Linked DNA regions of Mus musculus. The protein of the gene in region 2 purifies or fractionates together with the protein of the main gene of each other region. This does not show direct contact. Links are inferred from orthologs where the notes say so. Each region holds a gene or a part of one and is shown on either strand. Other genes may lie near its edges.

Evidence for each region. Proteins that work in one complex are often made in the same cells at the same time.
Region 1: the proteins of Cops6 (region 2) and Dcaf8 purify together in Homo sapiens (affinity purification with mass spectrometry; 3 studies listed by BioGRID and IntAct, with this or other methods). This does not show direct contact. The link is inferred for Mus musculus from reciprocal best matches to the Homo sapiens genes COPS6 and DCAF8.
Region 3: the proteins of Cops6 (region 2) and Dcaf1 purify together in Homo sapiens (affinity purification with mass spectrometry; 7 studies listed by BioGRID and IntAct, with this or other methods). This does not show direct contact. The link is inferred for Mus musculus from reciprocal best matches to the Homo sapiens genes COPS6 and DCAF1.

What each region holds. Positions count from the first base shown.
Region 1 is NC_000067.6:172,144,749-172,154,972, forward strand, and holds the start of Dcaf8 (DDB1- and CUL4-associated factor 8), read left to right. Parts: upstream 1-3,266; 5' UTR 3,267-3,590; exon of another isoform or gene 3,591-4,373; intron 4,374-4,500; 5' UTR 4,501-4,573; intron 4,574-10,224. UniProt on the Homo sapiens protein: May function as a substrate receptor for CUL4-DDB1 E3 ubiquitin-protein ligase complex.
Region 2 is NC_000071.6:138,155,823-138,166,084, forward strand, and holds Cops6 (COP9 signalosome complex subunit 6), read left to right. Parts: upstream 1-5,279; 5' UTR 5,280-5,290; coding exon 5,291-5,360; intron 5,361-5,552; coding exon 5,553-5,675; intron 5,676-5,851; coding exon 5,852-5,983; intron 5,984-6,314; coding exon 6,315-6,403; intron 6,404-6,499; coding exon 6,500-6,562; intron 6,563-6,912; coding exon 6,913-6,960; intron 6,961-7,307; coding exon 7,308-7,422; intron 7,423-7,504; coding exon 7,505-7,597; intron 7,598-7,686; coding exon 7,687-7,787; intron 7,788-7,913; coding exon 7,914-8,054; 3' UTR 8,055-8,162; downstream 8,163-10,262. Other genes in the region: DNA replication licensing factor MCM7, read right to left, coding at 8,897-9,098, 9,230-9,339, 10,088-10,256. UniProt on the Homo sapiens protein: Component of the COP9 signalosome complex (CSN), a complex involved in various cellular and developmental processes.
Region 3 is NC_000075.6:106,818,647-106,828,881, forward strand, and holds the start of Dcaf1 (DDB1- and CUL4-associated factor 1), read left to right. Parts: upstream 1-3,277; 5' UTR 3,278-3,445; intron 3,446-10,235. UniProt on the Homo sapiens protein: Acts both as a substrate recognition component of E3 ubiquitin-protein ligase complexes and as an atypical serine/threonine-protein kinase, playing key roles in various processes such as cell cycle, telomerase regulation and histone modification.

The sequences.
Region 1 (10,224 bases), on a different chromosome or scaffold from region 2:
GCGTGGATCCACATTTAAATAAGGAGACAGGGGGTTCATACCAGTCAGCGGGACGCCGGCCAAATCAGCGTTCGAGTAACCCGCTCCTCCGGCTCCGAAGAAGCCAGCTAACCCGCTGGTGGATTTGTTGCTACTTCCTCCGCCACCTTCCATGAGGTCGCAGCAAACGGCGGTGGGCTCGCCACCACCTCCTCAGGCCGGGGACGTATGCTCGGCCCAGTCTAGATAATTTTGACTTTCGTTATGTGATGAGAAAGTAATGGATGTTTTGGGTAGGGGACTATGACCTGACTTACATCTTAAAAGTCACTCAGCTGCCTGACGTTTGCTCGTATGAGGGCACTAATGGAGATAGACAAACTAGCTGGAGTAGTTACTCTCCAAATGGCTGGACAAATTATGTGAGTGAAGCACTGATTTCAGCTTAGAGTTTGAGGGGACATCATTCATCATGATGGGGAGAGCGCGGCAGCTGGAGGCTTGCTGGACACATTGTGTTCAGAAACAGTAATAAATGCTGGTACTCGATTTACTTTCTGTATATTCAGCCAAGCCCCTCAGCTTATGGAATGATGTCACCCACAATTAGGTGGGTCTTCCCACCTCAATTAGCCTAATCTAGGTAATCCCTCACAGGCATGCCTAGAGGCTTGCCTGCTAACTAATTATAGATCTTGTCGAGTTAACAGTATTAATTACCACATGTCTACTTCAGCAAGTAGTCAACAAGAGACAGCTTGGGATAGAATGTATCTGGCAATGGAGCTCAGTTTATAGAGTGCTTGCCTAGTATCCACGAAGGCCTCAGTTTGATTCCCAACAACGAATAAAATCAGACATAGTGGCACATGCCCGACCCTCGGGAGATGGAGGCAGCAGTTTCAGAAGTGAATTTGAAGCTATTCTGAGCTACTCTCGTTCCTGTCTCAAAACACCTGGGAGGAGGGGAATGGTATTGGTATGGGGTAGAGTTGAGGAGTCTGTACTTAGTACCTTAACCTTCTGGTTAAAAGAAAGAGAGGCCGAAGACGTAGTTTGGTTGTTAGGGTACTTGTTCAACATGCCCAAAAGCCCCGTGGCTCCACCTCCAGCACTGCATAAACCAGCAATGGCGATGCTTCCCTGTAATCCCGGCTCTGGAGGTAGAGGCGGGATACAGCCTGGGATGCAGGAGACCCACCTAAAACATCTTCAACAACCTTGGTGTTCTGAGTCACACCAAAGGAAACAGCGCAGGATGAAACTTGGCCTTGCAGGCATCAGGAAGAGTCAGCCTCTGTGGACTGAGTACTGAACATCTGCCCAAAAGTATGTTTACTGATTGTTACACAAGTTGTTCTTTTTTTTTTCCGGGGCAGGGGGGAATAAATTCCTTTATACTAAAGACCCTAAAAAGCTCTATGTTTCCTGAAGAAAACCACCCTACAACTCTAGTCCTTACTGTGTACTGTTTGCAATCCTCGATAATGCAAGGTATTGCAGGTGTGCCAGGACCATCTTGTGACCCAGAAGTCACTGAAAGACTGTAAAGCTCCTTCAGAAGAACAACCCCATAGATGAGAGAAAGCACCTCGGTTTTCTATAAGGATCTTTTTCAAGGTCAAATTACTTCCAAAAAAGCCGGGAAGTGGTGGCGCACGCCTTTAGTCTTGGCACTTGGGAAGCAGAGGCAGGCAGATTTTTGAGTTCAAGGCCAGTCTGGTCTACAAAGTGAGTTCCAGGACAGCCAGGGCAAGGAAACCCTGTCTGGAAAAACAAACAAAACAAAACAAAAACATTACTTCCAGGAAAAAAAACTCTTCATTCTGATGTCTACCCTAAACAGTGAAAAACAATTATTTTATTCTACTGCCTACCCTGGATATAATGATCCTACTAGATTTTTCTGCTACAAATAAGAATGCTCCAGCCTGCTAGCTAGGAGTAATCTGGAATCCTAGAATCCTGGTTAGGTTTCCTTTAGGTGTCAGCAGAAAGTAGTGTACAGAGGTTACCTAAAACCAGCAACCTGCAGAGTTATGTGGCGTATCCATGTTTTAGCTGTATTTTCACAACAGCTAAATTATGAATAAACCTAGATATTTATCAACAGATGAATGAATTAAAGAAAATATAGAATATATACACAATAGGATCCATCAACTATGAAGAATGAAATAGTATTTGCAGATTATAAACAACATAAGTTAGACTCAGAAAGACAAATATGGCATGTCCTCTCCCATATGCAGAATCTGGATTTAAGTTCATGTATACATATGTCTATTAATTACACACACGTATTCATATTTAACAACAAAGTAGACAGGAGACTGAGAGGCAAGGAAGAGATATAAAGAGAGTTGAAGGAAAGCTAAGAAAAGAGAATGGAGTATACACTAGTCACAAAACTTAGTGGTAGTTATTGGAGGAAGGTAACCAAGAAGGGGAAAATGAGTGGGAAGGGGGCCATGAAGAAACAGGCATGACACATACATATGAAAATGCCACATGGAAACCTATTGCGTGTGTGTGTGTGTGTGTGTGTGTGTGTTGGGGATCGGGGAAGGACTTATTCTAGCCCCGAACTTACTATCCGTTGTTCTAGGTTGACCTCCAACTTGTGTATATCCTGTCTCAGCCTCCTGAGTGCTAGTTTGTAACCTGTTAGTTTGTATGCTCATTTAAAAAATTAAACTCTGCAGCGTTGAGCGCCTTTAATCCTAATCCCAGCGCCTGAGAGGCAGAGGCAGGTGGGTGATCTCTGTGAGATCTACAGTTCCAGGACAGCCCGGGTAGAAAGATCCTGTTTCAAATGAATAAATAAATCCTGTTTCTAAGCCGTGTCACTCCCACCCCCAGGTGTGGGGATCAAACTTTTAAAACTTTTAGACCCTTAGGAAGCATTCCAACATCCCCAAACCTTAGTGACTCTTTTAAACAAATGGACAAATGGGTGCTGGCAGAAGGCCTCTTAAGAAGCCATTGAAGGAAATGCAGCTTTGAGCCTGAAAGGAGAAAGGGGTTTTTCTTTAAACAAGGAAACAAACAAACAAAAAAATATGGCAAGAATTAGAACCTCAGGCCTGGAGGACACCTAGAAGTTTGCCTGCCAGAGCCTTTGGAATGAGGTTCATTTTCCGGCACAACTCCAAGGAGCCCCTAGATCGCATGTGTTTTGAATACCAGGAGACAAGCCATCACTCTCAAAGTACGAAAACAACTTGACTCCTCCGCCCCGCGCACGCGCCCCTCGCGGCTTCGGTTGGCCCGAGGCTCCGCCCCTTGTGCGGCCACCGGGAGGGTTGGGAGCCCAGAGCTCGCGGGACCGCTCTCGCTCAGTCTCCTCCAGCACAGCGTCGCAAACCCCGCCGGAAAGCGTGACGGCGCAGGCGCAGGCGCGGAGACCCGAGACGGTGGTGGTGGCTGCCGCTGGCCAGTGTAAGATGGCGGCGGCGTTGGTGGCGGCAGTGGACGGGGCGGCTGGGCCTGGAACAGTCGGAGCATCCGCTGGCAGAAGGATGACCCTAGATGGGAAGCGGGCTGCCGGGCCTCGCCAGCTCCCGTGCTTGTAACTGCCCCAGCCGGACGCCCTCCCCTTGACCTACCGGGTCCGTGTTTCGTCCGGCTCGGCCTGTTCCCCCCTCTCCCTGACCGCTTCCCCGCAGGACAGGCCCGATCCCTTTCCTAAAACTCCCGGACTTTAAGTCTTACTCCCCTCCTCCGAGTCGGTGCTGGGAGGACTCGTCCTCTGCCCGGGTCGGTCCACGGGGTTGCCCCCTAGGGCCAACCCCATGACTCACAGGGGCTTCTCGTTCGTCCGGTGACCCATTCGTAAACTCTCATTTCTCCCTTTATAATTTGGGGACCCGGCTCTGTTGGCGTCTCCTAGTCACTTCAGGGCCACCGCGCAGTGTGCCCCCTTCCCCCATCCCAAGATCTCAGGCCCAGCACCTCGTACGGAAGGCCGAGGTCCAAGAAACTGGCAGTCTGTTCTTGAATGCTTTGTGATCTAGTTCTCTTAATGTACTTCCCCTCCCCGTGTCCCGAAATCTTTTAGGACACCTTAGAACGGTCCCGCTTGGTCCTTATTAGTTGGAAAGCATCTGGCGGCTTGAATTTCTGACTCATGATTGTTGGTGTAGTCTGTAAACAAACCCGCACTAGAGCGATCACATTCTCCCGCGGATTCTCCCCTCCCCCCCCCTGCTCCGGAGTTTGCTTGAGACGGGTGGTTTGGTTTAAGAGTTGAAAAGATACAGGTTTTCCTCATAAGTGACTCTTTAGCCTTGGTGGAGCTGGGAGATAACTTTGCCTGGCGTTTAAATCTTGTGTTAATCCTTTGTGTTTCCATTACGGGCATGGGTTTTGTTCAGTAGTCAGAATTGAGTTAGGTAAGTTGTTTTGGTTTTAAATAGTTGTGAGGAGACTTTAAAAAAAAAAACATTAAAGTGTGGTCATAAATATTTTGGCTACTTTCAGAAGAGACGCCTTTGCCATGTAAACTTTCACTTTTCTCAGTTCTTCAGCGAACCTCCAGACCAGTTTTCTCAGGATCTTGGGCCTGACTTCGGTCGGCGATAAAAGCAGGAAGGTGAGTGGCATTGAAGGCGTTTAATTCCTCAATTCAAGACCCTTTCCTCATGCGAAAGTGCAGACCGCTAAACTCAACAATTGTTACCCCTGTTTCCGCAAGTTTGGATATTGTTAGCAGCTTTGTTACAATTTTGGTTAAATTTCTTACAAATTTAATTGGCTGTATTTTGACCTGCTGCCCGACACTGTTGTTGTGTGTCTTCAAATGGCTTAAGCGTCGAGTGAGCAGTCTGCACCTCGTTTTCTATTCCCCCGTTATTTATTTGCATTGTGTTTTGTCTTCCCGTGGATCTTGTCTTAGACTGTTAAAACATAGAGAACTGGGTTGCCTGAATTCTGTTTAGCCTTTTGTCAAGTCAGATCTGTTCTCCCAAACCCAGAACTTATCATCCATGCCATCTGGAGAGTAATTAACCACTCCTGACTAAAAGCTAGGATCGAAGAGTGAGCCTCCATTTAGTTGGTATCTAAGTCCAGTTAGCCTCAGAGGCACAACTTTTCAAAAGGTAGTGGGATTTCTTTTCTTTCTTTCTTCCTTTCTCTCTCTCTCTCTCCCTTCCTTCCTTTTCTTTTCTTTTCTTTTCTTTTCTTTTCTTTTCTTTTCTTTTCTTTCTTTCTTAAAAGCAGTTCCTTTTGTAGCTAACTTGCAGATTATTGGTCAGTAGAAGAATCATGTGCTTTCAGCAACAAGGAGAGGGAGCCGGAACACAGTTGTCAGTATGGTTCCTACAAGGCTTGTAGATTGCTCGTAGCAGAGGGTAGGACTGTGCTTGAGACTGGCAAGACTTAGTAGAGAAGCCCCCTGACTCTTTAAGGTAGGTTTGACCAATCCTAGTACCTTTGGGATTTGTACTGGGAAAAGTTTGAGAGTGGCTATGCTAAGTTTTGTTCCCCGTGGTGCTCAAAACTAGAAAATGTTCATTATGAAGTAACATAAAAACTTTGAATGCGGATGCATGTATGTAAGATGTAAGAGTAAGCTTTTACATTTTAATTTGGTTTTATGTCTGGGTGTTTTACCTGCATGGCTGTCTGTGCAACGCTTGCATGACTCATGCTGGAGACGATCAGAAGAGGGTCTCAGATCCCTGGAACTGAAGGTATAGGTAGCTGTGAGCTGCCATGTGGGTGCTGTGAACTGAATCTGGGTCCTCTGCAAGAACAGCCAGTACTCTAAAACAGTGAACCATTTCTTTCTTTCTTTCTTTCTTTCTTTCTTTCTTTCTTTCTTTCTTTCTTTCTTTCTTTCTTTCTTTTTTCAAAGATTTATTTCATTTATATGGGTACACTGTAGCTGTCTTCACACACCAGAAGAGGGCACTGGATCCCATTACAGATGGTCGTGAGCCACCATGTGGTTGCTGGGAATTGAACTCAGGACCTCTGGAAGAGCAAGCAGCCAGTGCTCTTCACCGCTGAGTCACCTCCAGCCCCAGTGAACCATTTCTTCAGCTTGTTTATTTGACTTTTGAGACAGGAACTCACTTTATCCCAGGCTGACCTGAAATTTATAATGCACACCAGGCTGGTCTTGCAAACTTGTCTCACCTAGCCTCCTAAGTACTGGTGTACTGGTGTGAGGCACCAATCATAGGTAATACATAACAGGTGTTTGCTTTGTACCCATCTTTCTATTTTGTTTGTTTTCTTTTAAGAACTAGGGCCTAAGAGCCGGCTGTGGTGGCGCACGCCTTTATTCCCAGCACTCGGGAGGCAGAGACAGGCGGATTTCTGAGTTCAAGGCCAGCCTGGTCTACAAAGTGAATTCCAGTACAGCCAGGGCTACACAAAGAAACCCTGTCTTGAAAAACAAAACAAAAACAACAACAACAACAAAAGAACTGGGGCCAAGGCTGATGGTGGTAGTCCATTAGTCCATGCCTTTGATCCCAGCACTTGGAAACAGATGCAGGTGGATCTCTGATTTTGAGGCCAGCATTGTCTACAAAGTGAGTTCCAGGACAGCCAGAGCTACATAGTGAGACCTGTCTCAAACAAAGAAACAAAACTTGGGGTTTTCAGGTAAACTAAGCAAGCTCTCTGCTGCTGGGCCACAGCCTCTGCCCCTCAGATTCATGTTTAAGATTTATGTGCCTGTGTCTGTGTGGGGATGGATGTATGTGAGGGTAGTGCCTGTGGAGGCTAGGACAGAAGAAGGGACCAGATCCTTTGGGGCTGGAGTTAATAGTTGTGAACTGTTGTGTGGCTTCCAGAAACTAAACTCAGAGCCTCTTCGAGAGCAGTAAGCACTTTAATTGCTGTCCCCTCAAATTCAGTTTTATTGTTCATATTATTTGTTTGTTTTGTGAATGTCTTGTAGGATGCCTTCTAAACCTGATTTCTGAGCGTCAGAATAGGAAATGTTTACATATGTGTATTTCTAAATGCTTTTGTTGTTGTTGTTGTTTTCCTTCCCTGAGACAGGGTTTCTCTGTGTAGCCTGGCTGTCCTGGAACTCACTCTGTAAACCAGGCTGGCCTCGAAAAATCCATCTGCTCTGCCTCCCAAGTGCTGGGATTAAAGGCGTGCACCACCACTGCCCATCTCTAAATGTATTCTTAAACTAAATGTCAATTATTTCTTTGTTGGTTGGTTTCTTCCTCTTGGCCTGTTAGCATACCTTACAGAGTATGGTCTCTTTCCTTTCCCTTCTGCTGTAATGGCCACTGGTGCTGCAGCTAGCCACTGAATGCTTAACTTGTGCTACCAAGAGAGACACATTTTTTTTCCCAAGATTATGAGCTCAGAGGTGAGCCTCACCAACAGATTATTAAGAATGTGACAAGGGCTGGGCAGTGGTGGAGCACGCCTTTAATCCCAGCACTTAGTGGGCAGAGGCAGGAGGATTTCTGAATCGAGGCCAGCCTGGTCTGGTATTTCAGAGAGTTCCAGGATAGCCAGGGCTACACAGAGAAACCCTGTCTCGAAAAACAAACAAAACAAAACAAAAAGTGAGAAGGAAATGCTCTTGTTTTTTAACATGAATCAGGGCTAGGAATAAACACTCATCTCTTCTTCTCATGGTTACACCATCTTAAGACAGTTCAGGTAAAGAGTTTTAAATCTTTTTGTTTTGTTTTTCTTTTATATCTGTTTTGGAAGAGTTGAGGGCTCATAAGAGTTGAAGTTTTGATGACAGGACAGTGTAAAGGCAGTGTCATTCACATCAGTGAGGGGAGGGCTGATTAGCTTTTGTCCCTGTCATCCAGGGGACAGATTCTCTGTTGTAATGTCAAGACTCTCGGCAGTGCTCGTGAACTAGGCGCTGTATTTTATGAGATCTGCTTTTTGTGTTTCATGAAGAGGGTGGAGGAGAAAAGGAAATATGTTGGAAGAATAACTTAACTATTCCTTACTGCCTTGTGTACTGGATAAGGACAGCCCACCATTCAATCCCCAGACTTTCAGGAAAGATTTCAGGTGGCATCTTTATATGCATTGAACCTTTTTTTTTTTTTTTTTTTTCTGAGACAGGGTTTCTCTGTGTAGCCTTGGCTGTCCTGGAACTCACTCTGTAGACCAGGCTGGCCTCGAACTCAGAAATCCACCTGCCTCTGCCTTCCGAGTGCTGGGATTAAAGGCGTGCACCACCATGCCCGGCTGCATTGAACCATTCTTAGTCTGTGTATTACAACTGTAAAATTCTTGTCTCTCTAAGGCTATTTCAGAGTTATAATTATTGCCAAAGAACAAGGAGTTTTTATTGTTTTTTTTTCTCTCTCTTTAAGAGTCCCATGTAGCCCAAATTGATCTCAAGTTCAATATATAACTGAGGATGGCCTTGAACTTCTGCTCTTCCTGTCTCTACCTTCCTCATATCATCATAAGCATGTATGCCATCCTGGTTTTATTTACGTGAGACAGGGTCTCACACTAACTCAGCCTCATCCTGAGCTCACTGTGTAACTCAGACTGGAGACCTCACCCTGCGTATTCTGATTCAGTCTCTTGAGTGCTAGGATTATAGGCACGGATGACTACACCTGGCTACGTTCCTGGTCTTTAAAATCAAGTGACTAGCTAAACCATGCTTTCAGAAGACTTCCTACTGTACTGGTTTTGCTGTATAAAAGTTATTCTCACCATGTCCAGGAAATAGCTAGATTATGACAAAGCCACAAGGGTCCCAGGTACTGGGTGTTGTGACATACACCTTTAATCCCAGCAGTCTGGAGGCTGAGGCAGGAGAGTTGTATGGATAGTCAGAGCTATGAAGAGAGACCCTATCTGAAAAGGGATCCAAACTGAAGCTTTTATTATATAACATTGGCATTAGAAGGGTGTTTAAATTTGTTTATTTATGGAGTTGGCTTTTCAGTCTTTGAGATTGAATCTTTCTTTTTTTCTTTTTTTCTTTAAGTAGATTATCAGCAAGCAGAGATAATCTGTTACTCAACTCCCCCATTTAGAACTCAGGTACCCGAGTGAATCAGATCCGTAGCTTGCAGGTCTTCTAACCGTTCGTACAGTAGGCTTCTGTTATTTGGAATTTGGATTTTTTTTCTTGTCAACCATGGAATGAAGATATTAATTGGTAAAGTACAGAATTAAGCAATCCGTAAGCTTTAAATTGTGTGCTTTTCTGAGCTGAAAGATGGGATTTACCCCAGCCTTTCTGGGACCTGGACCATCTTTTTGGGTGCTGTGTCTAAGCTGTCATCACTAACCATCTCTTAGTCACTTTCCCCATTGTCAGGGCACCTGTGCTACTCACATTAGTGTGCATGATAAGTAGATGGCACTCAGTGCAAGGATAGTGATGCCAGCAACTCCGGCTACAAGAGCAGCTGTAAAGGCCTCCTTTAAGTGAAAAGACAAAAGTTCCCAGTAAGGGGAAGGTAGGTATATGCCTGTGATACCAGATACTCAGAAGCCCAAGGCAAGAGAATTTTGAGTTAAAGGCCATCGTCCCTCAATTCTCTCTCCCCCAAAGAAAAGAACAAGAATCTTATGCTATAGTTTCCAAGATGTGCAATAAAGTATTCTCAGAGAGAAAACTTACATTGGTATAATTTTTTTTTAAAGATTTGTAGCCGGGCAGTGGTGGCATTCCTCTTTATTTCCAGTACTTGGGAGTCAGGGGCATGCAGATCTCTTGAGTTTGAGGCCATCTTGGTCTACAGAGTGAGCCAGGACAGCTAGTGTTAAATGGAGAAACCCTGTCTCTAGAAAATAAGAAAATACTTTTTGCTATGTTCATGTGTGTTGTGCAACAAATGTTTTCCTGGGAAGAAACAGCATAGGCCTTACTCAAGCATACCAGCCAGGGGAGCCCAGTCTTGTCTCAAACTACTTGAGAGTAATCTTGAACTTCGAACCTTCTAAGTGCTGCAGTTACTGGCGTGAGCCACCAGTACAGACTTGACTGAGTTAACTGAGTCCTAGTGTTTTATGATCTTTGATGGGGAAGAGAAAGGCTGGCTCCTTGAATAAGAGTGAGTCACTTAGCTGGGCACAGTGGCACACACCTGTTCTCCTAAATCCGCACTCTGGAGGCCAAGGCAGACAGGAAGTTGAGGTCAGTATATGCTACATAATAAGGCCTTGTCTCAGCATCCCCCCCCCCATGTCCCCCCTCAAAATGGCTCCCTAGGTAATTCCATGAGAATAGCTTTTCACTCTCTTTTTCGGAGGAGGGGAGGAATTCAA
Region 2 (10,262 bases):
TCATCTCTCGATGGTACGCTGATGGTGCTGTTCTCGATGGTGCTGGGAAACAAGGGCACCAGACTGCGCCACTTGCTGGCCAGGTTGGGAAGGGACGATGCGTAAGCTGAAGAAGTTGGAGGTCCAGGAAATTCAGGGCACAAGTTCTAGTGGCTCTGAGAGAGAGAGTACACCATCACCTCCATAGCAAGAGAGAGAGTACACCATCACCTCCATAGCAAATATATGAAACTTGAAGAATCCTTTAATATAAATGTGCACCATTGGCTGGTCGTGATGGCGCACGCCTTTAATCCCAGCGCTGGGGAAGCACAGTCAGGCAGATCTCTGTGAGGCCAGCCTGGCCTATGATACAAAACAAAACAAACAAACAAAAAAATAAATAAATAAAAGTGCACCATGGGTTTTGGTTTTTGTTTTGTTTTTCTGGTTTTTTTTTTTTTAAGATTTATTTTATTTATTATATGTAAGTACACTGTAGCTGTCTTCAGATACCAGAAGAGGGAGTCAGGTCTTGTTACAGATGGTTTTGAGCCACCATGTGGTTGCTGGGATTTGAACACAGGACCTCCGGAAGAGCAGTCAGTGCTCTTAACCACTGAGCCATGTCTCCAGCCCCCGTTTTTGTTTTTTTTTTTTTTTTGTTTTTTTGTTTTTTTTTTTTTACTCATCAATTTTTCTTTAATTATTTTGAACATTCTCACTAATTAAGAAAATATTTTATTTCAAAACTTCTTATAGTAGAAAAAAGGATTACCTTTTTAACATGATTTCTCCACTGCTTGATAAGTATAATAGTTATATTTTTAAAATTTGGAATTTATGTTGGTGCTAATGATATTATATCCAAAATAGCACCATGGGTTTTTTTTTAAAGCACTCAGCACTCAGTTTTTAAAAGATTTATTTTAACCAGGCAGTGGTGGTGCACGCCTTTAATCCCAGCACTTGGGAGACAGAGGCAGGTAGATTTCTGAGTTCGAGGCCAGGCTGGTCACAGAGTGAGTTCCAGACAGCCAGGGCTACATAGAGAAACCCTGTCTCAAAAAAAGCAAGACAAAAAATTATTTTAATAGATTTAATATTTATTTGAAGATTTAGTATTTTAATGAGTGTTTTTCTCCTGCATACACACACACATACACACACACCTGATTCAGATATAGGTCAGATGAAGCCATCACATCTTCTGGAACTGGAGTTACGGTAATGAGTGGCCATATGAGTGCATGGAATCTGGGTCCTCTGGAAGAGCAGCCAGTACTTTTTTTTTTTTTAAAGATTTACTTATTATTATTATTATATCTAAGTACACTGTAGCTGTCTTCAGATGCCCCAGAAGAGGGCGTCAGATCTCATTACAGATGGTTGTGAGCCACCATGTGGTTGCTGGGATTTGAACTCAGGATCTTCGAAAGAGCAGTCAGTGCTCTTAACCACTGAGCCATCTCTCCAGCCCACAGCTTTGCTTTTAGATTGCTTGACTAGCCTGGCTGAAGCCCTGGGTCCCCATCCCCAATGGTGCATAAACCAGACAATATGGTACAGTACTGTATTCCTAGCATTTGGGAGGTGGTGGCAGGAAGATCAAGGACTCAAGTTCGTTCTTCAGTACATACTGAGTTCAAAGCCAGCTTGGGCTACATGAGACACATAAGTGATTCTGCACTTACGAGCCTGACGTGGGGTACACATCTGTAATTGCAGTACTTTAGAGCCTGAAACAGAAAGATAGTCAAAAGTTTGAGGCCAGCCTCAATTGCACACTAAAACTCGGTCTCAAAACAAATGATAATAATTAACAAACACATATTTAAAATGAGCTTCCTATAAAGGCTCACATTTGGGGTTCAAGAGGTACCCTGAGACATATTGTGGTTTGGGGGTAAACAATTTATTTTAAGCATTATTAATGCTACAGAGATTGTGCTGGAAGTTGTGAAGAGATTTCAGGCCGGGAGACTAACAGGAGTAAGGAGTACTATTGCATCTTACAGGTTTTAGAGAGGTAGGTAACCCCATTCCATGTCATGAATGACTAGTCAATAGTACACGATAGAGGCACGCACTCTTATTCCAGGACTGGAGTTCATTTCCCAGTACCCATGTCTGTACACTCACAACCACCTATGACTCTAGCTCCAAGGGAAAGAGGAAAAGTTTGTTTCTTTAGCTAATGCGTGTCTATCATATGAGATGTGCCGCCTGTAACCGCCGATTGCTGGGGTTTGGTGCACCGCCTTAGGGGAAGTGAGGATTGCAGACTGGTCAGAGTTTATTTTTTATTTTTTGCAGAAGCTGTGAGGATGAAGAAAGAGGCTCTGCAAGTCAGTATAGCCTGACTAGTCCTAAGCCCAAGCCTAACATGTTCCAATAGACTCTTTTACTTAGTCAATTAATTAATTAAACAGGGTATCATTCTGAAACTCTAGCTGTCCTCTGACCTATGCTGGGGTATGCACATTATACACACACATACACACACACTTACACACTCAAAATAGAGTAAAAAACAAAGGTGTTCTTCTATACACTATTATTGTTTTGTTTTTCTTTCTTTCATTCGTTTTGTTTGTTTGTTTGTTTGTTTGTTTGTTTGTTTTTCGAGACAGGGTTTCTCTGTGTAGCCCTGGCTGTCCTGGAACTCACTCTGTAGACTAGGCTGGCCTCGAACTCAGAAATCCTCCTGCCTCTGCCTCCCAAGTGCTGGGATTAAAGGTGTGCCCCACCACACCCAGCTTGTTTTGTTTTTCGAGGCAGGGTGTCTTAGTCAGGGTTTCTATTCCTGCACAAACATCATGACCAAGAAGTAAGTTGGGGAGGAAAGGGTTTATTCAGCTTACACTTCCACATTGCTGTTCATCACCAAAGGAGGTCAGGACTGGAACTCAAGCAGGTCAGGAAGCAGGAGCCGATGCAGAGGCCATGGAGGGATGTTCTTTACTGGCTTGCTTCTCCTGGCTTGCTCAGCCTGCTCTCTTATAGAACCCAAGACTTCCAGCCCAGAGATGGTCCCACCCACAAGGGGCCTTTCCCCCTTGATCACTAATTGAGAAAATATCCCACAGCTGGATCTCATGGAGGTACTTCCCCAACTGAAGCTCTTTCTCTGTGATAACCCCAGCCTGAGTCAAGTTGACACATAAAATCAGCCAGTACACAGGGTTTCTCTGTGTAGCCCTGGCTGTTCTGGCATTTGGTTTGTAGACCAGGCTGGCCTCAAACTCCAGAGATCTGCCTGCCTCTGCCTCCGGAGTATTAGGACTACAGGTGTGTTCCACCACTGCCTGACTTTTTAATACATTATTAAAATCTGCAAAAAAAAAAAAAAATCATTCCAAGACAGATGAAGGGAACCCAGCTTTCCTTGAGCTCTAGACAGGGGTTGAGTGTTTTAAGAATATTGTTAAATTGCTGTTAGCACTAATGATGACCTTCCCTTCCTTCAGTTTTTCCTCTAATGGAAATCTCTTTAGGTTTATAGTATAAAAACTCCCAAGGTTTATTTTCATGTAACTAACCAAAGACATTGGGAATAGGGCAACTTAACTATCTAATTATCATCTATTGTACCCATCTCTCTCACTGTCCAGGCTGCCCTGAGGAAAAGGACTGTCAGTCTCATAAGTTAGCTAGATGACCCTTAGACTAGCACCAGCAATCTGGGACACACAACAGAAGTCTTGAGACAGCTGTGTAAAGATTGAAGCTGATTTTCCAGTGTATTTGACATAGTTGTTACCAGATATTTTGCTGTCATAGACCCCTATGAAATGTAGATGAACCTGAAAGCATTTCCAGCGTGACAGGAAGGGAGCCCTTTCCCTAGTGGAAGGACTACTGCGAATCAGTGCAAAGCCATGATTGGTCCAAAGCACATACTTCAGTGACTGTGATTAGTAAAAAAAATAAATAAATAAAAATAAAAAGTAGCCCGGGCGGTGGTGGCGCACACCTTTAATCCCAGCACTTGGCAGATTTCTGAGTTCAAGGCCAGCCTGGTCTACAAAGTGAGTTCCAGGACAGCCAGGGCTATACAGAGAAACCCTGTCTCGAAAAACCAAAATAAAAATTTAAAAAAATGGCTGTTATTGGCCCCAAATGAATGATTGTGGACCAAATACTCTTTCTTGGCTATTTAAGCAGGTCGCTTAGCCTTAGTTATTGTCCAAGTAGGAAACGTTTTCTTTTATTTTTATTTTTATTTTTATTTTTTTTATTTTGGAACTCACTCTGTAGACCAGGCTGGCCTCGAACTCAGAAATCCGCCTGCCTCTGCCTCCCAAGTGCTGGGATTAAAGGCGTGTGCCACCATGCTGGGCAAGTAATTGTCTTTTTTTTTTTTTTTTTTTTTTGGTTTTCTTTTTTGTTACAAGTAATTGTCTTAATCACTGTTCTATTGCTGTAAAGAGACACCATGACCAAGGCAACTCTTCCCCTCCCCCCACCTTTTTTTTTTTGTTTGTGCGACAGGGTTTGTTTGTGTAGCTTTGGCTGTGATGGAACTCACTTTGTAGTCCAGGCTGGCCTTGAACTCATGAGGTCTGCCCGCCTCGATTAAAGGCTGTGATTAAAGGCGTGGGCCACAAGCCCTCCCAATAGCAGTTGCTAAGTTGTGTAAAGAGGTTGTCTTGAAACTGAAGAAGCTGAACAATTCAAGAGTAATTACTACTGGGGAGATGGCTCAGGGGATGAAGTGTTAGGACCTGAGTTTAGATCCTCAGTACATCGTTTTAAAAGCTAGGCATGCTGGGTATGGTACACACCTTTAATCTCAGCATTCAGGAAGGAGAGGAAGGCGGATCTCCTAGAAGTCTGCCTAGACGAATAGCAAGTTCCCACCAGCTGGCCAACATTGTAAGACCCTATCTCAACAAACAAGTGATCAAGTCTCTATAGATTATATGCAACATGAAAAATTTTATATCCTGAATAAATTGTCTTCCCCATTCCCTTTTACAGCCTTTCCTCCTTTTGATCGCAATTTTCTCTGTGTTTAGTATTGACAGTGTATCCACTTGAGACCTGGAAACTAATAGCCCTCCTTGGGAGGTAAAGGCAAGAGGATCAAAGTTCAAAGCCATCTTCAGATACACACTACAGAACTCATGGCCAGGCTGGTTTACATGAGAACCGCTAGCAGCAGCACAACACGCAGAGCACCCTGAGCTACTAAGTACTGGCAGCTGCCCCGCCCATTAGCAGCACCAAGTATACACTGAGCATGCACCGCTCCCCGACGGAAGCCGAGAAGGAAAGGGGCGGGCCGTGGCTGGCGGGCGCGGGGAAAATGGCGGCGGCAGCTGCGGCGGGGGCGAATGGGAGCGGAGGCAGCAGCGGCATGGAAGTGGATGCAGCAGGTAACGGGGTGCGCAGACCGACTTCTGGAGTTGCCCTTGAGAAGTGGTCTTGAGTACTTCTTAAACCTGTCCCAGGATAACTTGAGGGCAGCGATGGACGGCCGGGCTCTGCTGGTCCCCTGCTTCCATGTCTAGGGGAAAATGTGTGGGCCCGAGCTCTCAGCCGCTATGTTTTCCTTTCACCTTTAACAGTCCCCAGCGTGATGGCCTCCGGAGTGACTGGGAGTGTTTCCGTCGCTCTTCATCCCCTTGTCATCCTTAACATCTCAGACCATTGGATCCGCATGCGCTCCCAGGAGGGGCGGCCTATGCAGGGTGAGTGTTGTGTGTAAATCTCAAAATCTCTTGGAGATTTCCTCCAGTCACTCCCCTGCGCCCTTTCTTCCAAATTATTGTTTCCCCAGTCGTTGATTCACGCCGACTCGGGAAAGGTTTTCCGAGACGCCTGTTCCTCACCTAGTTTCCTTGCGCTTCTGTTTCTCTCCCCTTAGTGATTGGGGCTCTGATCGGGAAGCAGGAGGGGCGAAATATCGAAGTGATGAACTCCTTTGAGCTGCTGTCCCACACCGTGGAAGAGAAGATTATCATTGACAAAGAATATTATTACACCAAGGAGGAGCAGTGTGAGAGGGGAATAGAAGTGGGTGGGGAAGGAAAAGTGGGAAGATTTTTGTTTTGTTTTGTTTGTCTTAAAGAATAAAAGGCCTGAGGATGTAGGGCAGTGGGGTAAAGTGCATTTCCTAACATTCGGGAAGACCAGAGTTCAATCCTCAGTACCATATAACCCAGGAGATAGAGGCAAGAGGTCAGAAGTTCAAGGTTAGTTAGGTGTAGTTATTTTAAACTGACCCAAAATATGAGGAGGGAGGGGAGAACCGGAAAGAACACACCAGGCCCATCAAACTAAGGAAGAGAGGTTTAAAGGAATATTTACTCTGGCCCCTTCTTCTCCAGTTAAACAGGTTTTCAAGGAGCTGGAGTTTCTGGGTTGGTATACCACAGGGGGGCCACCTGACCCCTCAGACATCCACGTCCATAAGCAGGTATAGAAGCTCAAATATGTGCATGTTGGGGAAATGAACAGAAGGTTAGGGGAAGAGGAGATACTGACTCTTCCTGGGCTTTGCCTTATCTTCTAGGTGTGTGAGATAATTGAGAGTCCGCTCTTTCTGAAGTTGAACCCTATGACCAAGCACACAGATGTGAGTGTTGTTGACCCAATGTCCCCTTTTTCTTGATCATCTGCCACTATGCCTTTGCTCTAATTTACCGACATTATGTGTATTAGAGAAAGCTTGAGTTGAATCTCTACCCTGCTGTTTACACCCATCAGTTGTGTGACTTCATCTCTTCAGTGGTGTTTCCATATGTAATGTGTGTAAAACCTAGAGAAAGCATGAGCCAAGTGTGGTGACAACACTTGTAACCAATCTTAGCACTCAGGAGATTGAGGCAGGATTGTGAGTTCAAAGCCAGCCTGGCATGTGTGTAAGTTCAAGTGCATTTGCTTTTAGTAAGAGCTGTTCTCTTGTCTCCGTCTGTGTTTTTACAGCTTCCTGTCAGCGTTTTTGAGTCTGTCATCGATATAATCAATGGAGAGGTAATATATAACCTGCAACCTTCAAACCTTTTAGCCTGTTTCCTGCATGCCGTGTGCAGGCATAGGACAACCCTGGGTGTCCATCCTAGCTTTCTACCTTGGGACAGACTCACTTGTTTGCCAGGCAGGTTGGCCTGTGAGCTTCTGGGAATTGTGTCTCCACTTCCCATCTTGCTGTAGGGGTTCCAGGATTACAGTCACATGCTGTCACATCTCACTTAATGTGGGTTCCGAGGCTCTAAATTGAGATCCTCAGTTGTGCAGCAAGTACTCTACCTGCTGAGCCATCTGCCTAGGCCTAGGTCTGTTTCCTGACTCTCCCTATCTGAGAACTCTTTACTCTGCAGGCCACAATGCTGTTTGCTGAGCTCACTTACACTCTGGCCACTGAGGAAGCTGAACGGATCGGTGTAGACCACGTGGCCCGGATGACAGCAACAGGCAGTGGGGAGAACTCCACTGGTAAGGGAGGGGAATTCAGTCTTTGGAGGTAGGGGTTGGGTGTGGCCACAGGCCGCCCTTCATTTGCCCCATTCCCCTGCAGTGGCTGAACACCTGATAGCTCAGCATAGTGCCATCAAGATGCTGCACAGCCGTGTGAAGCTCATTTTAGAATATGTCAAGGCCTCTGAAGCAGGTAGGAGAGGTGCCTGTCACTTTGAAACATTTTTCCTCTCCTGGAAAAGTGACAGCATCCACATCAGTGCAGCCTCCTTGTGTCCTTAGGAGAGGTTCCCTTCAACCATGAGATCCTGCGGGAGGCCTATGCCCTATGTCACTGTCTTCCAGTTCTCAGCACTGACAAGTTCAAGACAGACTTTTATGATGTGAGTGTTGACACCTTTGATGGGGAGGTGGGGCTCACACCACCTCACAGGTAGGAGGTGAAACTCAAGTGTCACTGGCTAATACGAGGGACCCCTGGGGAACTGGTTCTTTGTGTTCCCTCCCAGCAATGCAATGACGTGGGGCTCATGGCCTACCTCGGCACCATCACCAAAACGTGCAACACAATGAACCAGTTTGTGAACAAGTTCAACGTCCTCTACGACCGACAAGGCATTGGCCGGCGAATGCGGGGACTGTTTTTCTGATGATGGTTCTGGAAGGGATGGTGTGTGGGGCTCAGACAGCTGTTCCATGGACCTGAGTACCACATTCCCTTTAGAGAAACTCATTAATAAAAGAGCAGCCCCTTAGCAGCCCTTCCAGTGGCTTTGTCCTCTCAGGCACCACACTGGTTTCTCAACATGGACTCTTAAGGAAGCTTCACCCATTAATCCACATTTTTTGACCACCTACCCACCTTTTAATGACTCGAGGTGACCCCTTGTTGAAGTAGACAAAATGTGATAGGACGACCTGCTTGCTTCCAGTTTTTGTGCTCTGTGATCAATTCATGTCACAGCTCCACAGAAAGATTGCTTTCCCAGGCTAATTTAATTTCACTGCAAATGTTTCTCAAATAGGAAGGGGAGGGAAGCTGAATTCCATCTTTGTAATTGTGGTTATCTCAAGTCCTTGTTTTTCTATATCCTGAAGGTACCTAGGAGGGTGATATGTACCTCATCCTTAGGCCTTCCACTTAAGTCATACCTTGTGCTAGGCGCAACTTTCTGCCCTTCACATCCTGGTGTCATCACGTCTAGATGTGGGGGTCTAACAAACGAAATGTCCATAATTGGAAGCATCTCAAGAAACAGTGGTCCCAAGGCCTTCTATCTCCCAGATTGACTAGCACATAGTAAGGGTCAGTACTAGAGACTAGGGGAGGAGAGAGCATACTAAAAACTCTACAGAGTTATTAACAAGCAAGAGGCAATCAAAACACTTTATTGGCAGAATAAAAAAGTGCAGCATGGGAGAATGAGATTTTTTCTTGAGGGGGCATTCAGCATGCCCTCTGGTGTAGGCAGGAGGGTGTAAAAACTGGCTATCAGACAAAGGTGATCCGTGTCCGAGAAGTATTAACCTGCCAGACATTTAGCTCCTCATATTCATCCAGAGCTGCCTGGAACTGGGCTGGTGTGAAGCCACGAGATATGCAGCGCTGTTCAGCCTCAGAAAAGTGGACACTCCGCCCCCGTGACACCAATTCACGGATGGTGGCAAATATCACATCTGCTGGCCTCTGGGTCCTAAAAGACAAGGATGGAAAAGGTGAAGGTGCAAGGCCACAAACAGTAGCAGCAATCAGCATCAAAACCCTGAGGGCAAGCCAGGTCAATAAGCCCAGTGGTCCAGTCTCACTCTTCATTAAAATCCTCACCTAGCTGTCTGTCCCTTTTCACCTAGAAGGGAGTCCTTCGACATCTCCATCAACCTTATGGCTTCATTTACATCTTCCTTCTCCACAATGTCTACCATCCGAAGTCGAGCCTAAGGGGAAGGCATAGAAAAGATTGGGATAGGAGGGGAGGAGGGGAATGAAGTCAAGGATCTTTCTTTGCTCCAGCTTCAAGCCTGGGCAAGCCACATTTGCCTACTCATTGAACAAAAATGGGGACTCCTCCCTGCCCCCCCACATCTGCAGTGTTGGGCCGGCACTGTCAGACCGAGACAAGTGCAATGCCCAGGGCAGCGTCCAGCAATTGCCCAAGTCTCCGCCTCTCAACACTGGCCAGTCCCGGTGGGTGTTCAGCTGTCCTGTGAGGGAGACCAGACCCTTCTGAACTCCACTAGGCTCCCCATCAAACAAATGGAGCCTGGGGCGCTCAGCTAGGGCCACTATCAGAGGTTGTGTCCTGGGGGCTCGGGAAGTGCTAGCTCAGCAGTAGGTCAGGTAATTACACTACCTGCACGAACAGCACTTTGGAGCCCCCATGACTAAGGTCCAAGAGGGGAGGACAGAATGGAGATTTCTAAGATCATATCTAGGACACCAGGAATTCAAGTCCTAGCCCTCATGGATTCAAGCAGCAAGCAGCCTTTCCCTCCATGGGCGTTGCACGTGCCCTGCTGGAGCAGCAAGTACCCACAGTGCGGTAGCACAGAGAGGACCACTATCTGCACTGTCAGCACTTTAGTCCCAGCAGGGCTGGTAGGAGGGAAGGAGGCGGCTTGAGGGTCATTAGGTGAGGTGGCAGGCAGGGGTCAGCTTTCCAGCTGACAGGGACCCACCACTCACCAGAGCAGTGGAAAGTCGGAGAATGGCCAGCAGGGTCCGGGCAGAAGTATAGGTGGCATCCTTACTGGCCCGGGCCTCTCGCCTCATCTCCACATATGCTGCGGTGATGTAGTCAGCCAGAGATTCAGGCACTGTGGGCTGTCTCTCGTGGCACATGGCTATGTACCGTCTGTGG
Region 3 (10,235 bases), on a different chromosome or scaffold from region 2:
TGGAGTGCTTGGCCGCATGTGGCTGTGGTTTTACACAGTGTTCAGAGTGAGGGAGAGAGGGCTGCAAAAGTTCTAGGGTGGAGATTATTTTTGGAGACAAGGTCTCATGTGTCTCACGTTTGCCTCAAAGTTGGTGTGTTAGCCAAGGATGATCTTGAATTTTTGATCCTCACCTCTCCACTCATGTGCTGGGACTGGCGGCTTGCACTGCCATGTCCAGCTCTTTCTTTTCTTCTCTTCTCTTCTCTTCTCTTCTCTTCTCTTCTCTTCTCTTCTCTTCTCTTTTCTTTTCTTTCTCTCTCTCTCTCTTTCTTTTTGGTTTTTTTGAGACACGGTTTCTCTGTGCAGCCCTGGCTGTCCTGGAACTCACTCTGTAGATCAGGCTGGCCTCGAACTCAGAAATCCGCCTGCCTCTGCCTCCCAAGTGCTGGGATTAAAGGCGTGCGCCACCACTGCCTGGCTGATTTTTTTTTTTTTTCAACATAGGGTTTTTTTTGAGTGGCCCTGGGTGTCCTGGAATTCTCTCTATAGACCAGGTTGGCCTCAAACTCTAGAGATTTTCCTGACTCTGCCTCCTGAGTGCTGGGTTTAAAGGTGTGCGTCACTGTTGCCTGGCATGGTAGATATTCTTGAGGGAGTTGCTTCTAGACAGGCCCTGTATTTCTGCTTTTCTACTACAATCCCATTTGATGCCCCTTAAGACCTCCAATCCAGTACCCCCACACTGGGTTCCTAAAGTGGGGTAGTGCCATCTGGTGACAGAATGAGGTAGCAACTCCTGCTTTGATGAACTGGGCTTTGGGTCCTCACAAGGGCTCTTGCATCTAGACCACAGGAAGAGGTAAGGTATCCAAGGGATTGAGGATACCTGGAGGAGCCATCCCTCTACATTTTGGGCTTATAGCCCAAGAAGATATGGCAGGAAAGCTGCCTGAAATAGTATTTTAGGTGTTGTGAACTCTCTTTTTTAAGATAAAAATGTAGCTGGTCACAGTGGTACACGCCTTTATTTGCAGCACTTGGAATGCAGAGGCAGGGGAATGTCTGTGATTTCAGTGCCAGAGCTGGTCTACACAGGGGAGTACGGGACAGCTGGAGCTGGATATCGAGGCTCTGTCTTGAAAAAAAAATTAAAGATTTATTTATGTATACAAGTGTTGTACTTGCATTTATGTAGGTGCACTCCATGCATGTATGATGCCCAGAGGCCAGAAGAGGGCGTCTGATCCCCTGGAACTGAATTTCCAGGTGGTTGTGAAACCATTTGGGTACTGGGAATCAAATCCTGGTCCTCTGAAGAGCAGCCAATGCTCTTTCATGTTAGGCTCTCTCCAGCCCCCAAATCTGTATCTTTTTTTGTCTGTCTGTCTGTTTTGAGGCATTATCTATCTAAATGTAGCTCTGGCTATCCTGGAACTCAATGTGTACACCAGGCTGGCCTCTAACTCAGAGATCCACCTGCCTCTGCCTCACATGTGCTGGGATTAAAGGCATGTGACACCATGCCCAGCGAAACTCTTCATTCAACATTACTACTTTTGATTTCTCCTCCATAAAGTTGGCTAGCCTTATCTGCCCTGGTGTTGAGAATAATGAGTGTAATTAAAACATTTGATTTAGGGATGGAGAGGTGGCTGAGCAGGTAAGAGCACTGACTGCTCTTCCAGAGGTCCTGAGTTCAATTCCCAGCAACCACATAGTGGCTCACAACCATCTGTAATGGGATCTGATGCTCTCTCCTGGTGTGTCTGAAGAGAGTGACAGGCTACTCACATAAAATAAATAAATCTTAAAAAAAAAACCATTTGATTCAAGTCTGCTATAGAGTCTAAATAAATAATGGTCATTATAGCTCAAGAGACAAGATTTCAGATGCACAGGAGAAAGCTGTGTTGTAGCAAGAGCGTGATTACAAGTTATATGCCTGTAGCACTGCTATTCACCCTCTAGAATTTGTATTTCAAGCAGCTGTTACTCCAAGCACATAATTGAGTGAGGAAGGAACGAAGTGCTCAGGTGGGTGGGGGTAGGGTGGTAGTGGATTTAAGCCCTAAGATACTGGCTGCTGCTTTTCTCTTTCTTTCTTTCTTTCTTTCTTTCTTTCTTTCTTTCTTTCTTTCTTTCTTTCTTGCTTGCTTGCTTGCTTGCTTGCTTGCTTGCTTGCTTGCTTGCTTGCTTGCTTGCTTGCTTTTCTTTCTTTTCTTTCTTTGTCTCTTCTTCTTCCCCTTCCTCTTCCTGCTTTTTTTTTTTTTTTTTCCAGAGGGAAATCTCTGTAGCCCTGGCTGTCCTGGAACTCACTCTGTAGACCAGGCTGGTCTTGAACTCAGAGATCCGCCTGCCTCTGTTTCCCAAGTGCTGGGATTAAAGGCATGCGCCACTGCCACTACCACTCTTCTGATACAGGCTTAGTAACAGCCGTAGAATCTGATCATGACAAGAGGTCCACAGTGTCTTATAATTTCCACAAGAACGTATTGGCTGTAATCGCTCTATGGAAACGCACAGAACTCGCTCAGAATGCCAAGAACAATAGTGAGTTGCATGAATCCTGACGTCTGGGTAGGTTTTGTCAAGATTCTGCTCAATTGTGGAGTTATCGTAATCTTCCATGTTATCACACAGAATCGCTGGGTCAAAACCAGATCCTTCCGATGCAGCTTCCCTTTGGTTTGTGAAGTTAGGCAAGTCATTTACTGTGGGTTTCATTTTCCTTAACTCTAAAATTGATAAATTGAATTAGATGGCCTCCGTGATTAGTTGTTTTCACCAAAGGGCTTTCATTTTTCTGCCTCACATATAATACATGGTAACTGATGTTTTTTGATTCCTGTCGAATATGTTTTTAACAGAAAGACAAAGGAAAACCGACGAATTTCTAACGAGTACAGTTGTTTCTGAATACATTTGTGTGAAATGCATTCTTTGACCCTGGCATCCTTCCGAGCCTGATGTGGCAGTGTCCTACTGAGCCCTTAGATGACACAGGGTAGAATTAAGTAAATTCGGGCAGCCCGGGCTTTTAGAAAGATCTATTCCTTCCTTTACTTTTCACTTCCGCCTTAAAGAAAACTACGAATCCCAGAAGTCAATGCGCTGAGGTGGTGCTTAATGGTAGGTCTAGCGCCATCATCCCTCCCCCGCCCTTAAACGCGGAAACTTCATTTCCCAGGAGCGCTTTGATGTCCCTCGGCTCCTCCCCCTTCCCCGCTCCGGAGCCTCGCGCCAACGTTACACACCCGCGCGCGCTGAGTGCGCGCGCGACCAGTACGTAGCCTGCGAGTGACGCATAATATGTGGGCCGCTCAGGAGCCGTGGTCGCGCTGTGTGTGTGTATATGTGTGTGTGTGAGTGAGTGAGGGAGAGTGAGTGCGGGACCAGAGGCAGTGTGTGAGAACCGTGGCCGCTGGAGGGGTCGGGGGGAGAAGCGGCGGAGCCGCTCGCGAAGGTGAGCGGGGTTAGGAAGGGGCCGGCTCTCTGGCAGGGGCACGAGGAGAGCGAGCGCGCGGCCCGCTGGGCGGGAGAGTGGGCGCCGCGCTGGGGGGAGGGGCGGCACCTGCTTCGGCTGCGGGCGGCGAGGGGCTGGGCGAGCCCACCGAGGCGGCTGGGCCCGGGGCCTGACGAGGCTCTCCTTCCGAGCCCGGGCCCGGGCCCGGGGGCGGGGCCTCCGGCTCCTTCCTCCCGTCCTGTAAAGAAGCCTCTTTAGAGTAACTCTTCCGCCGGGGTGTGGAGGGCAGGGGATGCTCGCCTCTACCTAAAGGAGGTGCTCTTTGAATCTCTCTCTTCCACTCCAAGTCTCTGTCCCTCACGGGACGAGGGGCATCTTCTTTCCCATGCCGCCCGGCGGACCCCTTCAGGAACGGTGTCCCCGCCTCCAGCCTCAGTCACCTGGGCGGGCTTTTCCCTCGGTCGGCTCCGTGCCACCTCCCACTTGCACCCTCCCGGCTCTCCGACCGGGGAGGGGGCGGAGCTCGGCGGGAACCCCTCCCACTTGTACAATGCAGTAGCGAGGGGACGGGGAGAGAGGTATGTGGGTGTCCAGACGCCCAGAGTCTGACCTAAGGTTGCCTGCCAGGTTTCCCCAGCGCTTATTCCGAGGGCTTTTAGTTGTTTGTTGGGCTTTCAAGGGCATTTGCCATACTTTGTCTTCTGTTCCTAGAAAGTGTCGGTCCGTTTCCTCTTACTGCTGTGGTTTTAACATTTGATGAGGAAATACTCTTGCGGTGTGTCTAGTAGTAGTTTTTGAGGAACAAATGACTCGTTTTTTGTTTATCTTACGTTGCTCTTTTTTTTTTTTTTTTCCCGGAGCTCATTGTAGTCTAGGCTGGCTTCGAACTAAGATATCCTTTTATCTCTGCCTCTAGTATTGTAATTAAAGGCGTCTGTTACCACTGCCGGGTTTGCTGTTTTTTTTTTTTTTTTTTTTTTAACTTTCAGGCAAAGACTTTTAAGTAGCATGCACGTTTTAACTTATTGTAGCACTATCTTCCTATTGCAAGCTTTTGAAGGCTTTTTTTCTCCTTGGATTTACTGGCATTTACCTTCAAGGCTTTTATAAGCATATGTACATTTCAGTCTGATCTCAAGATTTGTGTTTTTGTTTTTTGAGACAGGGTTTCTCTGTGTAGCCTTGGTTGCCTTGAAACTCAGTTTAGACTAGCCTGGCCTCGAACTCAGATCTGCCTGCTTCTGCTTCCCCGAGCACTGGGATTAAAAGTGTAAACCAGCCGGATGGTGGTGGTGCATGCCTTTAATCCCAGCACTTGGGAGGCAGAGGCAGGCGGATTTCTGAGTTCAAAGCCAGCCTGGTCTACAGAGTGAGTTCCAGGACAGCCAGGGCTACACAGAGAAACCTTGTCTTGAAAAACCAAAAAAAAAAAAAGTGTAAACCAGCACTGCCCCACCTTAAGATTTGTGTTTGTATATAGCAGTTACTCATTAACCATTTCGAACTGGGATTTTTTTGGGTTGTTAAGGTAATTTGAGGAACTTTTTTGAGCATAGTATTTACTGTTAACAGTGTTGTGTATTTGTTATTTTTTTTTTTCTCAGAAATCCACCTGCCTCTGCCTCCCAAGTGCTGGGATTAAAGGGATGGGCCACCACTGCCTAGCATAGCCCCTCAAACTTTTAAGTAGGAAACTAAAAATAAGTGATAATCTTTCAGTTTCAACTGTTAACTGCTTGCTGTATCTTCTTGTGTTAATTTTATGGAATTTGAGCTGGTAGGTACATCACCTCTAAATACTTTGTACACATTCTTATGAGTGAGGAAATTTCATGTGTATAAATTGATATTTTAAACATTTACGAATTCATATTCTGTAATATAGAATTTTCACTAGCTCCCACAACTGTTTCTATTTAATAGAGAAGTTGAGTTTTTTTTCCCCCAAACAATTTGATACTTAGAGAAGTTAAGTAAGAATTCACAGACATTTCAGCAGAGTTGGGATTTGAGTTCTTTTAAATTGTTAATTCTTTTCTGGGATGTGTCATTTGTGTGGTCTTGAAAATCTCTCTAACTCATTTCCTTATCCATAAAAGTCACCTCACAGGGTGGCTGTGAAAATTAAGCATGTAAGTTAGTTAATTACTTAGCTCAATGTCCTGGGCTAGATATCCCAACTTGGTGACCATTGATTGTATCATCATTAGGTGTGTGTCATAACTTTTTGCATGATTCTTATAAAAAAAACATTGTAGTGGTTTATTTAAGCATTCTGGAGGCAGAGACAAGCAGATCTTTTATGTGTTCAAGGCTAGCCTGTTCTATAGAGGCTAGCTAGGGGTACATAGTTAGACTCCTGCCCTCCAAAGAAAGTATGAATTAAATGATGCATACCCACTATATTACTCCAAACAAAATGATACCTTATAAATTTTGTATTAAAGCCTTTTGATGGATGGGTCACACTCATGGTATTTATTTATTTATTTATTAGATATTTTCTTTATATACATTTCAAATGCTATCCCAAAAGTTCCCTATACCCTCCCTCCGCCCTGCTCCCCTACCCACCCACTCCCGCTTCTTGGCCCTGGCATTCCCCTGTACTGGGGCATATAAAGTTTGCAATACCAAGCGGCCTCTCTTCCCAGTGATGGCCGACTAGGCCATCTTCTGCTACGTATGCAGCTAGAAATACGAGCTCTGGGGGGGGGGTGTACTGGTTAGTTCATATTGTTGTTCCACCTATAGGGTTGCAGACTCCTTCTGCTCCTTGGGTGCTTTCTCTAGCTTCTCCATTGGGGGGCCCTGTGTTCCATCTTATAGATGACTGTGAGCATCCATTTCTGTATTTGCCAGGCACTGGCATAGCCTCATACGAGACAGGTATAACAGGGTCCCTTCAGCAAAATCTTTCTGGCATATGGGTTTTTAAAAAAATTTTTTTAAAGATTTATTTTATGTACGAGTATACTATAACTGTCTTCAGACACACCAGAAGAGGGCATCAGTTCTCATTACAGATGGTTGTGAGCCACCATGTGGTTGCTGGGAATTGAACTCAGGACCTTTGGAAGAACAGTCAGTGCACTTAACCACTAAGCCATCTCTCCAGCCCCATGCTATTTTTTATTTATATTATATATGTATGTATTTATTTAGGTATTTATTGAGACAAGGTCTCTACAAAGTACTGGCTGTCCTGGACCTCACTGTGTAGACCAGGCTATCCTCAAACTCAGTCTCTGTGTCCTGAGTGCTGAAATTAAATGTGGGCACTACTACAACACATTCATGCTTAAAAAATATTTTTAACATTTATTTTTGTGTGGATGGGTATGGGCATGCTTATGTGGAAGGCAAAGAACAACTTGGGAATATGTATTTTCCCCTTCCATAATACAGGTTAGGTTCATATTTCCCCCAGGAAAGTCATTTTTCAACAGTTACAGTGAACATTAGACAGGGATCACTAGAAAATAACACTGGCCGGGAGGTGGTGGTGCATGCCTTTAATCCCAGCACTTGGGAGGCAGAGGCAGGCAGATTTCTGAGTTCGAGCCCAGCCTGGTCTACAAAGTGAGTTCCAGGACAGCCAGGGCTACACAGAGAAACCCTGTCTCGAAAAAACCAAAAATAAAAAATAAGAAAAGGAAAATACCACTGATGTATCATACAGACTCAGGATTAAACCTAGGGGGCTTTCTAAATGCTAGGTAAGCCACTTAATGACATCAGTGGGTGGAGAGTTGTCTTAGCTTTTAAAAGCACTTGCTATTCTTGTAGAGGAACTAGTTCAGTTTCCAACACCCATGGCAGCTCACAACAGTCCACTTCATAGTTCTTGTTCTAGGATATCCTATGCCCTCTCTGTCATCTACAAATATATACATATATAGGCAAACACTCATACACATAAAAAAAGTTATGTCTTAGTATGTGTAAATGGAGGGCACTTGTATTTGTGGTTTGCATTTAGAGATCAGAAGACAATTTTTGGGCTTCAGTTCTTTCTACCATGTGGGTCTCAGGGATCAAACTGGTCATCAGTTTAAACAGCAGGCACATTTACTACTGAGTTACATGGCAGGCCTTTGTTTTATTTAAACTCACTATAGCCAAAAATAACCTTGACTTTCCCCCCTATATGTTTTCCTTAGTAACTCCTTTGTGTGTGTGTGTTTCTGCATGTATGTTTCGTTTGACTGTTGACTACTTTATAGTCTTGTCTCCCTTACAAGTATATGCCATCATGCCTGTGTAGCTCTGGCTGTCCAGGAACTTGTTCTGTAAACAAGGCTTCCCTTGAACTCAGAGATCTGCCTGCCTATGTATGACTCCTAAGTGCTAGAATTAAAGGTGTATGGGTATGGTACCACCAGATTGAGTTTATATATAGGTATTTGTATATGTTACTTTATAATATATACATAATATATTTATATACAATATACTTGTATAAATACATGCATAATATACATAAATACACACACACATATGAGCACAGACCCAGGGTTTTGTGGTGGTAGGCAAATGCTTTATTACAGTAGAGCTGGATCTGCAGCCTCTGTGTGTGTTTCTAAGTTGAGTTGTAATATTTTACTTTTTACTTTTTTTTTTTTTTTTAAGATTTTATTTATTTCCGGGCAGTGGTGGCACACGCCTTTAATCCCAGCACTTGGGAGGCAGAGGCAGGCGGATTTCTGAGTTCGAGGCTGGTGTGGTCTACAAAGTGAGTTCCAGGGCTATACAGAGAAACCCTGTCTTGAAAAACCAAAAAAAAAAAAAAAAAGATTTTATTTATTAATGTGTATAAGTTCTGAATCTGCATATAAACCTACATACTAGAAGAGGGTATTAGATCTCAGTACAGATGGTTGTGAACCATCATGTGGTTGCTGGGAATTGAACTCAGCAATCTGGAGGAGCAGTCAATGCTCTTAACAGCTGAGCCATATCTCCAGCCCCAAAGTTTACTGTTTTAATGCCTCTGAGTTCACATTCATTACAGCTGCTTTCTTGTTCTTTAAAAACATTTTTTTCTTTAAATTGTGCTTTAAAACTTTTTCTTTAAATTTTCTTTAAAATGTGGAGGAACCTTGAAAATGTTAATGCATCAGGCATGATGGTACACTTGTGATCCCAGGCCTCAGGATGCTAAAGTTGAACCGCCATGAGTTTAAGTTCAAATTGCATAGTAACATTTTATCTCAAAACCAACCCAACCCAACCCAACCCTATGGGCCCCCTTGAGTGACAGGCCCAAAAGGCCTAGGACTCAGGAAGCTGGACTAGGAATATTGAAGGTTCAGGGTCTACTTGGGGGACAGATTAAGGACAACCTGGGCAACCTTTTCTTGTCTCAAAACAACAACAACAAAATTCTACAAAACCCCCAAAAAACCTAAACTAAAATATCAACAACCCTAAACAAACACTGGGGATGTAGCTCAGTGTTAGAGTGATTGCTTACCATGTTTGACTCTAGAATTCCTAGTATCAAACATCAAAATAAACCAAGCTTTAGGGATATAGTTCAGTAATATTACTGAGTTCTTAACATGAGCAAGGCCCTGGCCCTTTACTGTCAAGAACAGAAAAAGTGCCAAGTGGAAGAAAGTGAAAACAGTAAAAATTAACAATGTGTGTGTGTTCCAGAAGGCTCATTGCTTAAGGGCATTCCTTCATTGTTTTCCTCCTTTTTTTTTTTTTTTTTTTTTTTAAATCAAGATAGGGTTTCTCTGCATAGCCCTGTATCCCTGGCTATCCTTGAACTCTTTGTAGACTACCTTAGCTTCAGACTCAGAGATCTACCTGCCTTTGCCTCCCAAGTGCCAGAACTAAAGGCGTGCATCCTCCACACCTGGCTTGTTCTTTTTGAGACAGAATCTTTATCTTTCAGCATGTAGTCCTTCCTGACTGTCCTGGAACTTAGACAGATGGTCCTGCTTTTGCCTCTGGGATTAAAGGCATTTGTGATAGCGCATCTGGCTTTTTTTTTTTTTAATTTATTTTATTTTTTTAAACCTCCATTAAAAATATGGGAAAAAATGGCTGAAGAGATGGCTCAGTGGTTAAGAGCACTGACTGTTCTTACAAAGGTCCTGAGTTCAATTCCCAGCAACTACTTGATGGCTCACAACCATCTATATTGGGATCCGATGCCCTCTTCTGGTGTATCTGAAGACAGACAGCTACAATGTATTTGTAGACATAGAATAAATAATTCTTCAAAAAATATGAAAAAAATGAAAAGGGCTGGATTATTCTTACATGGTAGAGCAGTTGTCTAGCATGCATGAAGCTCTGAGTTCAAGCCTCAGCACTTTTATAACTTACTGTGATGGTTACATATCTCTAATTCTAGTACTTGGGAGATAGAGGTAGGAGGATAAAAAATCAAGGTAATTCTTGGGTACCGAGTTTAAAATTATCCTGTCTCAAAAAAAAAAGTAACCTAGTGTGGTGACTTCATAGTGAGAGCTAGGTCAGCTGGAGCTGCAAGTGAAAGCCTGTCTCCCCACTTCCCAAGATTGTAGATTCACAACCCAGTGGCATTTAGTAAATTCACAATGCATTGCAGCCTCACCTTTTTAGTTTCAAGCCTTTATTTATTTATTTTGTTTTTTTTTTTTTTGCTATTCAAGACAGGGTTTCTCTGTGTAGTCCTGGCTGTCCTAAAACTCAGTTTGTAGACCAGGCTGGTTTCGAACTTAGTTAGATTTTCTTGCTTTTGAGTGCTTGGATTAAAGGTGTGCACCACCACTGCCTGGCAGGCATTTTTTTT